3 linked regions of the Arabidopsis thaliana genome follow. The protein of the gene in region 1 purifies or fractionates together with the protein of each later gene. This does not show direct contact. Each region holds a gene or a part of one and is shown in the gene's direction. Other genes may lie near its edges. The genes, in order: TCP-1, EMB2107 and AtCDC48B.

Region 1 (3,753 bases):
TACACGTTTTATAACCCAGACCCACGTCTCTCTCTCTCAAAGAAGAGAAGAAGAACTCTCTCTCTATCTCTATCTCTATCTCTCTTCTCCTTCTTCTTCAGTTTCGATCATTCTTGAATCTGATTCTTCTCGAGAAAAAAGCGTTTCAATTTCAGAAATTTCGACTACGATTGTTGCTTTGTTCAATTAGAAGAGGCGAAAAAGGATGGCGACGGTTAATGGGTACACAGGGAATACTCCGGCGGCGACTACACCGGCAGCCACCGGATCAAAGCAATCTGCTCCTCCGACTAAGACCGTCGATAGCCACTCCGTTCTAAAAAGGTTATTTCTTTTTTACATTTTTCCGATCTTGGAATATTCTCGCGTCCATTTAAAGGAATTAGTCTTTAGCCTCTTAATGATTAGAATCGCTGCGATTGTTTATAGAGTTGTTCATGTTTCTTTAGGTAGATTAGATTAGGTTTTGGCTCTACCCATATCCATTTCTTGTGGTCTACATGCTTTCTAGATCATTTTTAGAGAAAACGATGGATCCAAAACTGATTGTGACTTCTCTTGTTCTCTTCTGAAATGATGGGTTCTCTCTTTGTCTACCAACTGTTTGTTATAATGTCTCTAAGAGAATGATACATCAAACTTTGTATGTACTACAGATCTCAAGTACTTTCTTTTATGTACCCTTTCTTGATCAAAGCAAACAAATTCATGGTTTTGCTAATTCATTGTTTTTCCTTAATTGCAGGCTGCAATCTGAACTAATGGGATTGATGGTAAGCTATCTTTTCTCTGCATAACTGAACCTGTTGATATGGTTGGATGCTTATATAGAGGCCTTTGGGTTTATGTATTGCAGATGGGAGCTGATCCGGGGATATCTGCGTTTCCAGAGGAAGACAACATATTTTGCTGGAAAGGAACAATTACAGGAAGCAAAGATACTGTGTTCGAAGGAACTGAGTACAGACTCTCACTCACTTTCTCTAACGATTATCCTTTTAAGTCTCCCAAAGTTAAGTTTGAGACATGCTGCTTCCACCCCAATGTGGATCTCTATGGCAATATTTGCTTGGACATTCTTCAGGTACATAACAATCACTTGCTCTTTCTACTTGTGTTACTGTAAATCCCATGGAATCACATATCAGAGAAGCAGTACTTAAAACAGAATCTGTTTTCACATCTTTTGTAGGATAAATGGTCATCTGCTTATGATGTGAGGACGATATTACTCTCAATTCAAAGCCTTCTCGGAGGTAAACTCTATGGCTGATATAACTGTTGAGGTTACTTATGAAGAATTTCTCTGTTGGTTTGATCCAGTATCTGATTTTTCCTGTTTTGTTTTAATTGATCAGAACCGAACATCAGCTCACCATTGAACAATCAAGCGGCTCAGCTTTGGAGCAATCAAGAAGGTAAAATTGCAATAGTTATCAGATTACACATCTCTGGACGTCTCCATTTTTCGATTCATAATGATATTCGTCTTCTTGAACTTGTAATGTTATACAGAGTACAGGAAGATGGTTGAGAAGCTCTACAAGCCTTTAAACGCATGATTCTCAAAAATCACTGTAACTGATTTTAAAATCTCAACTGTATTGGATCATATCTCTTTTACTTTTATAATCTCAATTTGAGCCAATATTAGCAATCAAACTCTACCTTTATTACAGTTCCACAATCACCACCTATATCTCTTCCGTAACTGAGATTTGAGAAGTTCATAATAGTAACTCTGAAATGTTGTAGTAAGTATCTGAAAGTATAATACAAAAAAAAGTTTCTGAACTATTGAAAAATCCAGAAACCAAAGTTCCCCACGAGAGAAGTAAGACTCAAACATGTGAAACGTTGGCACCGGACAAAGTACTGAAGACTAATGAAATGTTTTGAAATTGACATTTATGGCCTTCTTTTTAAATCCCCAAGCCCATAATTCGTGCTTAACTCTTTATTACAAATGGGCTTTGAGGGTATATATTATTTCGGCCCAATATAAAAACGTCGCCGCTTCATTCATACCCTGGCCGTACATCCCAGAAACCTTGAAAGTTAAAAACCCGCCGGAGTCTCTCACTCTCACAAACTTTTGAGAAGCATTTTCGCTTCAATTCAATAAAAGGCGAAAAATCTCTCACTGCACTTTATCTCGAGAGCTCAGATCTCCGATCTAGAGCCTTTCGCTTCTCCTCTTCTGTTCATATAACAACTGAATAATGTCGATCTCCGCCCAAAATCCGGATATTTCCGGCGATAGACAATCCGGCCAAGATGTTCGTACTCAGAACGGTACTACTACTCTCCATCGCTTCCTCTTACGTCTATTTCCTATCTCTTCTCATTACTAAACTGTTCACTTTGTTTTCATCGCAAATTTGTTTCGATCTCTAGCTAGGGTTTGTTTTGAATCTATTCTTTTAGATGTTTTGTGGTTATTGACTCGTATTTTATATACTCTATTTGCAGTGATGGCTTGTCAAGCTGTTTCTAATATTGTTAAGACCTCACTTGGTCCCGTCGGCCTCGACAAGGTTTGGTTTCTGATTTGCATCTGTGTATATATATTCTGCTAGCTTTCTTTTTTATATCTTAGATGCATCTTGGCAACAGTTGTGTTTAGTTTTAGGTTACTTTTAGACCTAACCATTTCTAGTTTTATTCTAAATCTGCTCGATATTGTCCTTTGTATTTTCGTTCCTAGTTCCTCCAATCGTGTTTCATGTTATGTTGGCTTGTGTTTCAGATGTTGGTGGATGATATTGGTGATGTGACTATTACAAATGATGGTGCTACTATTCTTAGGATGTTGGAGGTCGAGCACCCTGCTGCTAAGGTAATTTATGCAAATGTGATTGTTATACGTATTTTCTTATCATCATTTCAAAACACTGGTTATGAATTATTAGTTACTCAGTTCTCTAATCTGTCTACTTTTGTTGTGACAGGTTCTTGTCGAGTTAGCTGAACTTCAAGATAGAGAAGTCGGTGATGGGACTACATCTGTTGTTATTGTAGCTGCTGAGTTGTTGAAGGTTAGTTTGATTACTGTTTTCTTTGGTTTTGGTTTTCCTAGAGTTGGGAGATTTTTCACATGGTAACTATTGCTTGATGATTAATGGGTCTTATGTATATATTTGCAGAGGGCAAATGATTTGGTCAGGAACAAAATACATCCAACATCAATTATCAGTGGATATAGGGTAAGCTGCGACTTTAATTTCATATGTTGTAACCTGCACTGCAGAAGTGTTTCCAGTGTGTTCATTATCTTTTTTACTGTTGACAGCTAGCAATGAGAGAATCTTGCAAATACATAGAAGAGAAGTTGGTGACCAAGGTTAGTCCTCGTGTGATGGTCTATAGTCTTGCCTCTTAGAGGAAATTTTCCTCTCTTCATACAATTTTTTTGTGTCAGTATAATTGGGAAAGCTCACTGTACTGTCTGTCTCTTCCCCTTTAGTTAATTACTTTTTTTTTTGCGTTTTATAGGTCGAAAAGCTTGGGAAAGTTCCATTGATAAACTGTGCCAAAACCAGCATGTCCTCCAAACTGATATCTGGTGACAGCGACTTCTTTGCCAATTTGGTACGCTTCCAGTTCTCCTTACTAAGCAATAACGTGGAAATTCATTAAAACATTAGTGTTATTAAAACCTATGTTTATTCTTGGTTTTTTCTTGGGGGACTCTTTTCTACTTAAATCTGGTTTATCTTGCAATAATACCCTAGTCATTGCATGTGGCTGAAC
Region 2 (3,753 bases), on another chromosome or scaffold:
AAATTCAAAAGACCAAAACCCGATAAAGAAAAGAAATCCGATTTTTTTTAGGATGATAAATATATATACCTTGTTCTTTTATAGAACTGATCTTCATCACTTGTGCCCTCATCTAACCGCTGGGAAGGTGCATGGGAAAGAGACCATGCTGAAGAAGGCGACGGTAGTTCGTCTGAGAAATATCTTCTTCTTATCAACTGAAAACGAAAAACGTTCATTAGGTTGAAGAGAAAGAGAGAGAGGGAGAGAGCTATTGTAAAACATGGCAAGGTCAGAAATGACACCAACCATATGGAAAATTTTGGTCAGAGCTTCTTTGTCATATCTAGCTTCCTTGGCAGCCTGTGCATAATTTTACCAAAATTATATGACATACCGCATAACACTAAATTCAAATAAAGCAAGTAATTTAGTCTGTGGTTACCATTATGAGACCAACATTGCTAGGGAAGCTCTCAGAGAGAGGAAGTTCATCACTATGGGGAAGCAGACCCTGCTTCTCAACCCAATGACGAGCTGCATCAACAAGATTGCCACTGCTTCCATTTGTTCCTCCTTTGGCAGCAATATCAGCTTTGTTTCCAATAACGATGTATGGGACGGGAAGACCACCAGGCCCACCAGAAGAAAGGGGAGCTGAAAACTCCCCAGTTACTGAAACTTCACCCGCCCATTTCTGCAAATTAGTTTTTGTAGTCCTTTGCGAAAGATCATGAACAAAAATAACTCCTGCATAATCAAACAGTCGCATCAGTGACAAAACAGGGACAGAGATGACATTTGTTGAGACAGACCATTGATTTGTGAATAGAACAGTGAGCGGCAATCTTTGTATCGTTCATGACCTGAAACATCCCAAAGTTCGACGAAGAAATCTCTCTCTGAGTCACCTTTAATGATACTTGAAGAACTAGCAGGACTTGCGTAAGTTAAGTGCTGCACCAAAGAGAGTTCCAGAAACTAAGTAGGGAAACTTATCCCATGCTCTCTTTAACCATATCGAGAATTTTTTTTATAGAACAGCTTAAGTTACCTTGACACCAACTGTACATCCAATAGTTTGAGATGGGCGAACAATAGAGGAGCCTTTGACAATGAGATGCACAAGAGATGATTTTCCCACACCTAATTTGATATCCAGAGATAAAACTTTGCTCAATAGTGGAGAAGATGTAGTAGACTTACGAAACTTGACTCTTATTAGGTTCCACAAGTAGAAACTCATATCCAATCATCATGAGAAATCTTCTCATTAGCTCCTTCTTTAAGGATGAGTTTGTGCACTACGACAAACTTTCTTTAGTTCCATTAAATGGCTACTTAAAAAGCTAGAACCATTACCAAATCTATGGAAACGAGAATTTGTTAATATTACCTGAATCACCAACCACCAATACTCGAATTTGGCCGCATAATGGCGCTACCATATGTTCCTTATTTTCCCTGCCACGTTCCCTCCAAAACCGCATTTTGATTACTCCAGCAAAATCGGCACTGCGAAATTAAGTCCCATAGTCGCGTCTTCGACCAAAAGAGAAGCTTCCAGAAATCATCATTTCGAAACTCTGATTCCTAGCTGTAAGCAGATTATTCTAATCCATCACCTTGCACATTGCAAAACAGAGTCTCGGCTACAGTTCCTTCACCTTCCTAGTGCAAATAATCTCTAGAGCACAAATCGAAACCAATACCGAAGTTAACACAATTGATGGAGGTAAGCAGCGAATCTAAGGAATATGTAAGAGGATCAATATTCGAATTCTAAGAGCGTAATAAGAGTTTCACAGAAGTAAGATTCACCTTCTTCCTCCTTAACGTTCTTCTCCTCGATGAAAAAAATTCAGAAAAGATCTTTCCAGTAATCAAGGTAAACCATTGAATCTCGAGACAGGGAGTTCTCGATCGACATTATAGAATCTCTGGTTTCGCTACGAAAATTCGAAGATATCATGAGATTTGGGCGGAAGAACGAACGACGTGAGTTTGTTCAATCAATGGGATCGGTTCGATACTTCTGAACCAACACCATACCATATAACTAGACCGGTATTACATACCAAACCTGATTGACTCAAAACAATTAGTTAATGGCCCATTAGCAGCCCATGTAAAAAGATCCATCGGCCGAAGAATCTGAGATTTCTTGTTCAAGGGGTTGGGAACTCTGCGAATTATCTGTGCTCAGCTACTCCCAAAAGCTCTCTCATCTCTCTCGTCCGTCTCCTCTTTCTCCATAGTTTAAAGCTTCGTCGTTCCGTCACCAGAATTTCAACTACTTTGAGTTGATTCTCGTTGGATTTCTCACGATGGCGAGTCTTCAATTACTCAGATCTGATATTAAGTTTTTTTCTCGTTTTCGAAATTTTTGCATCTTCTCATTCCGTCATAGTTTGTATTTCAGGGAGACAGCGGGAAGCTTGAGGCAACGATAGATCGGCTTCTGAATGAAGAGAAGCAGATGAGACTCGCCGAAAACGTAGCCGGTACAAGGAAAGCCGCCACTGAGATTCTTCAGCTTTGTTTCGATGCTAAGGATTGGAAACTTCTGAATGAGCAGATTCTCAATCTCTCTAAGAAACGTGGTCAGCTCAAACAGGTACTTGGAATTTTGGTTATATCCTATCAGTGTTTGTGGTTTAAGCTCTTAAGGAACATGAACTTTTGGTTTGGGATAATTTGAAGGATTTGTTTAAGTTGGATATTTTGTTTGAGTTTTGAATGTGATTTGTTCCACATTTGACTTAGGAATTGCATAGGCCTAGTTTTTGGTAACCCTAATCTTGGAAAGAGATTAAGGACATTAGCACAAATTCAGGAGGATTCGACTTTGTGTTGGATACAAGCTTCTTTTTGTGGGATGTTGTCCTGTGATAGGTTGCTTTTACGATTCCTCTCTATGATTTTGATAGATTCACTGTTGACTCAAATATTAAAGCTAAATTGGGTCATTGCAGATAGTGATGTTTGTATTTAGTTCAGTTTATTACTTAACTTAGTTTGATTTTCAGTGTTTCGTTGGTTTTACTTTTGCTTTGCGTGTTTTCTTGGTCTAGTTACTTCAGACAGAATTAGCTTCACCTTTCCATGTACAAAATTATAGTTAAAAGTAAGGATACAAAGTGATAAGTCAACATCACTGATTTTTTTTTTGTGAACTTCTCCACTTGCAGGCTGTGCAATCCATGGTGCAGCAAGCAATGCAGTATATCGATCAGACACCAGACATTGAAACTCGGATAGAGCTTATCAAGACGCTGAACAATGTATCTGCTGGAAAGGTGCGAAACTATGAAACTGATGGTGTATTCTTTATAATAACTTCATCATTCTGTGTAATTGTTTACCATTGCATTTTACATGTATAGATATATGTTGAAATCGAGAGGGCACGTCTCACCAAGAAACTTGCTAAGATTAAGGAAGAACAGGGTCAGATAGCTGAAGCTGCAGATCTTATGCAAGAAGTTGCTGTAAGATTTTGTGCATTTGGCTATTAAATCTCCTGGAAATTTTCTTCCCTTGTTAACCCCTGCAATTTGATAAATAATTAACAGGTGGAGACATTTGGTGCTATGGCAAAAACTGAGAAAATTGCATTTATCCTTGAACAAGTAAGGACTTGTGTAGTTACGTTGCAATTAATAATTTGCTGGTGTTTTCTTTCATTGTGATAACTATCAAACTATTGTGGTCAAACTTTAAAGGTTCGCTTGTGCTTGGATCGTCAAGATTTTGTTCGTGCACAAATCTTAT
Region 3 (3,753 bases), about 13 Mb from region 1:
ATGGTGTGATTGATTTTGGTGTGAGTTTGAATATATTTCAGGGTTTAGTTGGTTCAGCAATGGTGTTTGCAATACAAATATATGTAGTGGAAAGAGGAGGACCTCTGTTTGTATCAGCGTATTTGCCTCTTCAAACTTTGATTGCTGCTGTTTTAGCTACTTTAGCTCTTGGTGAACACTTTTACCTTGGAGGGTATGTTATCTATATGTTTTGACTCATTATGCGTTTTATTTTCATATCTTATAGTTAAGTTTCTTACACATTTTTTAATGTTTGTTTTGGTCAGATTGATAGGTGCAATACTAATCATGAGTGGACTATACTTAGTTGTGATGGGAAAGAGTTGGGAGAATCAAGCTCTTTGCCAACAACAACAACACATGATTTCTTCAGCAGCATCAGATTTTGGTGATGAAGAAGACTACCATAATAATAAACCAAGATCTCCTATTAGTCAACCATTAATTTCTTCCTAAATTTTGTTAGATCCTATTTATGTCTTAAATTCCTAGTTCCTACTCTCTTCCTCATTAAAATCGAAATGGACCCGGTTGACGAAATAGAGATAAAAATAAATTTGGTTAAAATCGGTTTAGAATTAAATCGATTGGTTTGGGTTTAGTGCCACAGTGGTTAGGTGAGTAGAGTTGTGGTTCGGTTCAGGTTATGATATTATAACCTGGAGGGATCAAAATTGGCGCTTTTAAAAACCAAACAAACAAAAACAGAGAGGAAACAAAAAAATGAGAAAGCAAGAATCAGAGGGAGCGAATCTTGAATTCGAATCCAAATCAAATGACAATGGAAATGTGAAAATCGCACCAAACGACCAAAGTTTCCTCACAATTCTTGACGACATAAAGTCTTCCAAATCTCCGGTTCTTACACACGACAACTTATACATTTGTACACGTTTTTAAGACCGAAGCTGGTTTTTTTTCGTAATCTGACTGTTCTTCTTGTTTTTGCTTTGTTATATTCAGGCTGTTATTAACTATGGAGCTTCTTGGTACACCTTATTCTCTGTTTTTACGATTACGCTTTTCATGCTTATAAAGTGTTCGATGAAATGCCTCAATGAGAACGGTTTTGTTTTGAAACTTTCAGGTGTGGAGTTTGTAGCCAGATTCTTCCTGCATTCCGAAAGCTCAGCAACAGTTTCTCGAAGCTCAAGTTTGTTTATGCAGATATCGACGAGTGCCCTGAAACCACTCGTCACATCCGTTACACACCCACGTTTCAGTTTTACAGAGACGGCGAGAAAGTCGATGAGATGTTTGGAGCTGGTGAACAGAGGCTCCATGATCGTCTTTGGCTTCACTCTTGAATATGTTCATCAAATATTAACTATGAAAATCTGCATTCCTTTTGTGATACTTTAAATGCCAACACAAAAAATACTTGGCTCTTCGACAATAATCCCCTGAATAAGTTTGGACTTTGGTAGATTAATGTTAGGGATAAACTTACAGAAACATCAAAGGTTAAACAGAGGATGGAGCTAACATTCATGATACAACTCTTGACAAATAAATATGAACACCGAGCTCCTCACGGCGGCTCTTTCCCTCTCAAATAATTTGGTTTAACCGGGTATAATGACCTTGAGAAACATTGAAGTCTCTAAATCACACTCTTGCCAATCTCAAAAGCACCAAGCTTCACCTCTAAACGGTTTTGTTTTCCAGGAATGAATTGGGTTAATGTAACTTTCTAATTTGGGTCAGGTTTGAGATTGGACGGTCTTCCACCACAAAAAATATCAACCATTAAAACTTTTATTGTTGCCCATTAAGACCGACCTTCTTTTCGTAATTTTTTTTTTAAAACGTAACTTTGTTGAATTTGTAAAAAAAATCTCTTGTGAAATTATCACAATGTTTATTCAAAACTAAATAAGAACATACTAGAAGCTTTTCTAAATTGGAAGATGTATAAAAAAAAAATAGAAGAAAAGAATAATAATAATGGAAAACAAATACTATAAAATAAACGTTTCTTTGATAACAAGAAACGGATTTGTCTTCTATATAAATAAAACACACACCTGTCTATTTATTTACACTTCTCGAATCTTCTTTTTCTTCTCTGCGAAGCTCTCTCTCTCTCTCTACTCGATTATCAAACATGGCGAATCAAGCTGAATCATCTGATTCGTAAGTACTTGTTAATTACTGAGTAACTCTTTAAGGTTTTGTTAGTCTTCGTGTTGGGGTTTTTCTAATTCTATTTTTTTTTCTCTGAATATCTCAGGAAGGGGACGAAGAAGGATTTTAGCACCGCGATTCTGGAGAAAAAGAAGGCAGCGAATCGTTTGGTTGTGGATGAAGCCATTAACGATGATAACTCCGTCGTTTCTCTTCACCCTGATACCATGGAGAAGCTACAGCTTTTTCGTGGTGATACTATCTTAATCAAGGTTTGATTTTTGAATTTTAAGGCTCTTCTTCTCTTGTTTCCTTTACTGAATTAGGGTTTATAAGGTTTTGTGATTGTTCATTGGTTTGCTGCTAGGGTTTATCAGAAGGGTTGTTTTTTGAATTAGGTCTTTCAATTTTCATGCTTTTGTTTTGGGATAGTTTCTTTGAGTTGTGTGTATTTACATCTTTGTTTTCTCTCTTTTTGTTTTGGGAATCTGTGGTTGCAGGGAAAGAAGAGGAAGGATACTGTGTGTATTGCTTTAGCTGATGAGACATGTGATGAACCAAAAATTAGAATGAACAAGGTTGTTAGGTCTAATCTCAGAGTTAGGCTTGGGGATGTTATTTCTGTTCATCAATGTCCTGATGTCAAGTATGGGAACCGTGTTCACATCTTACCTTTAGATGATACCATTGAAGGAGTAAGTGGCAATATATTTGATGCATACCTTAAACGTAAGCGTTTTCTCTTCCCTGTTTTTGTCATTTAAGTTGTGCTCTGCTTATATGCTTCTTGATGTGTTCTGTTTTTATCACAGTAGTTTAATGTCTGTTTTTTTTATTTTTTATTGCCAGCTTATTTCTTAGAGGCATATCGTCCGGTGAGGAAGGGCGATCTTTTCCTAGTTAGAGGAGGGATGAGAAGTATTGAGTTTAAGGTTATTGAAACTGATCCTGCTGAGTACTGTGTGGTTGCTCCAGATACAGAAATTTTCTGTGAAGGTGAACCGATAAAGAGAGAGGATGAGGAGAGGTTGGATGAAGTTGGGTATGATGATGTTGGTGGTGTCAGGAAACAAATGGCTCAGATTCGTGAACTTGTTGAGCTCCCATTGAGGCATCCACAGCTCTTCAAGTCTATTGGTGTGAAACCTCCCAAAGGAATCTTGCTCTATGGCCCTCCTGGTTCTGGGAAGACACTTATTGCCCGTGCTGTTGCTAATGAGACTGGTGCATTTTTCTTCTGTATCAATGGTCCCGAGATCATGTCGAAGCTAGCTGGTGAGAGTGAAAGTAACCTCAGGAAAGCGTTTGAGGAAGCTGAGAAGAATGCCCCTTCGATCATATTCATTGATGAGATCGATTCGATTGCTCCAAAAAGAGAGAAGACTCACGGAGAAGTTGAAAGACGGATTGTATCCCAGCTCTTGACACTTATGGATGGTCTTAAATCCAGAGCCCATGTGATTGTTATGGGAGCTACCAACCGTCCCAACAGCATTGACCCTGCTTTGAGAAGATTTGGACGTTTTGATAGAGAAATTGATATTGGTGTTCCTGATGAGATTGGTCGTCTTGAAGTTCTCAGGATTCACACCAAGAACATGAAGC

The links.
Region 2: the proteins of TCP-1 (region 1) and EMB2107 fractionate together in Arabidopsis thaliana (co-fractionation; one large-scale study listed by BioGRID). This does not show direct contact.
Region 3: the proteins of TCP-1 (region 1) and AtCDC48B fractionate together in Arabidopsis thaliana (co-fractionation; one large-scale study listed by BioGRID). This does not show direct contact.

The regions. Positions count from the first base shown.
Region 1 is NC_003074.8:7,000,736-7,004,488, reverse strand, and holds the start of TCP-1 (T-complex protein 1 alpha subunit), read left to right. Parts: upstream 1-2,053; 5' UTR 2,054-2,222; coding exon 2,223-2,295; intron 2,296-2,472; coding exon 2,473-2,537; intron 2,538-2,749; coding exon 2,750-2,839; intron 2,840-2,951; coding exon 2,952-3,038; intron 3,039-3,146; coding exon 3,147-3,206; intron 3,207-3,292; coding exon 3,293-3,343; intron 3,344-3,495; coding exon 3,496-3,591; intron 3,592-3,753. Other genes in the region: UBC19 (ubiquitin-conjugating enzyme19), read left to right, coding at 206-324, 746-773, 857-1,084, 1,193-1,256, 1,359-1,418, 1,516-1,562.
Region 2 is NC_003076.8:3,090,988-3,094,740, reverse strand, and holds the start of EMB2107 (26S proteasome regulatory subunit, putative (RPN5)), read left to right. Parts: upstream 1-2,145; 5' UTR 2,146-2,306; coding exon 2,307-2,309; coding exon of another isoform or gene 2,310-2,313; intron 2,314-2,401; coding exon 2,402-2,596; intron 2,597-3,170; coding exon 3,171-3,278; intron 3,279-3,365; coding exon 3,366-3,470; intron 3,471-3,554; coding exon 3,555-3,611; intron 3,612-3,704; coding exon 3,705-3,753. Other genes in the region: AT5G09910 (Ras-related small GTP-binding family protein), read right to left, coding at 70-197, 289-342, 425-729, 795-936, 1,034-1,125, 1,376-1,469. UniProt on the Arabidopsis thaliana protein: Acts as a regulatory subunit of the 26 proteasome which is involved in the ATP-dependent degradation of ubiquitinated proteins. Required for gametogenesis and sporophyte development. Acts redundantly with RPN5B.
Region 3 is NC_003074.8:19,721,288-19,725,040, forward strand, and holds the start of AtCDC48B (ATPase, AAA-type, CDC48 protein), read left to right. Parts: upstream 1-2,062; 5' UTR 2,063-2,128; coding exon 2,129-2,157; intron 2,158-2,254; coding exon 2,255-2,420; intron 2,421-2,648; coding exon 2,649-2,877; intron 2,878-2,997; coding exon 2,998-3,753. Other genes in the region: UMAMIT6 (nodulin MtN21 /EamA-like transporter family protein), read left to right, coding at 42-193, 288-477; AT3G53220 (Thioredoxin superfamily protein), read left to right, coding at 745-879, 985-1,010, 1,109-1,328.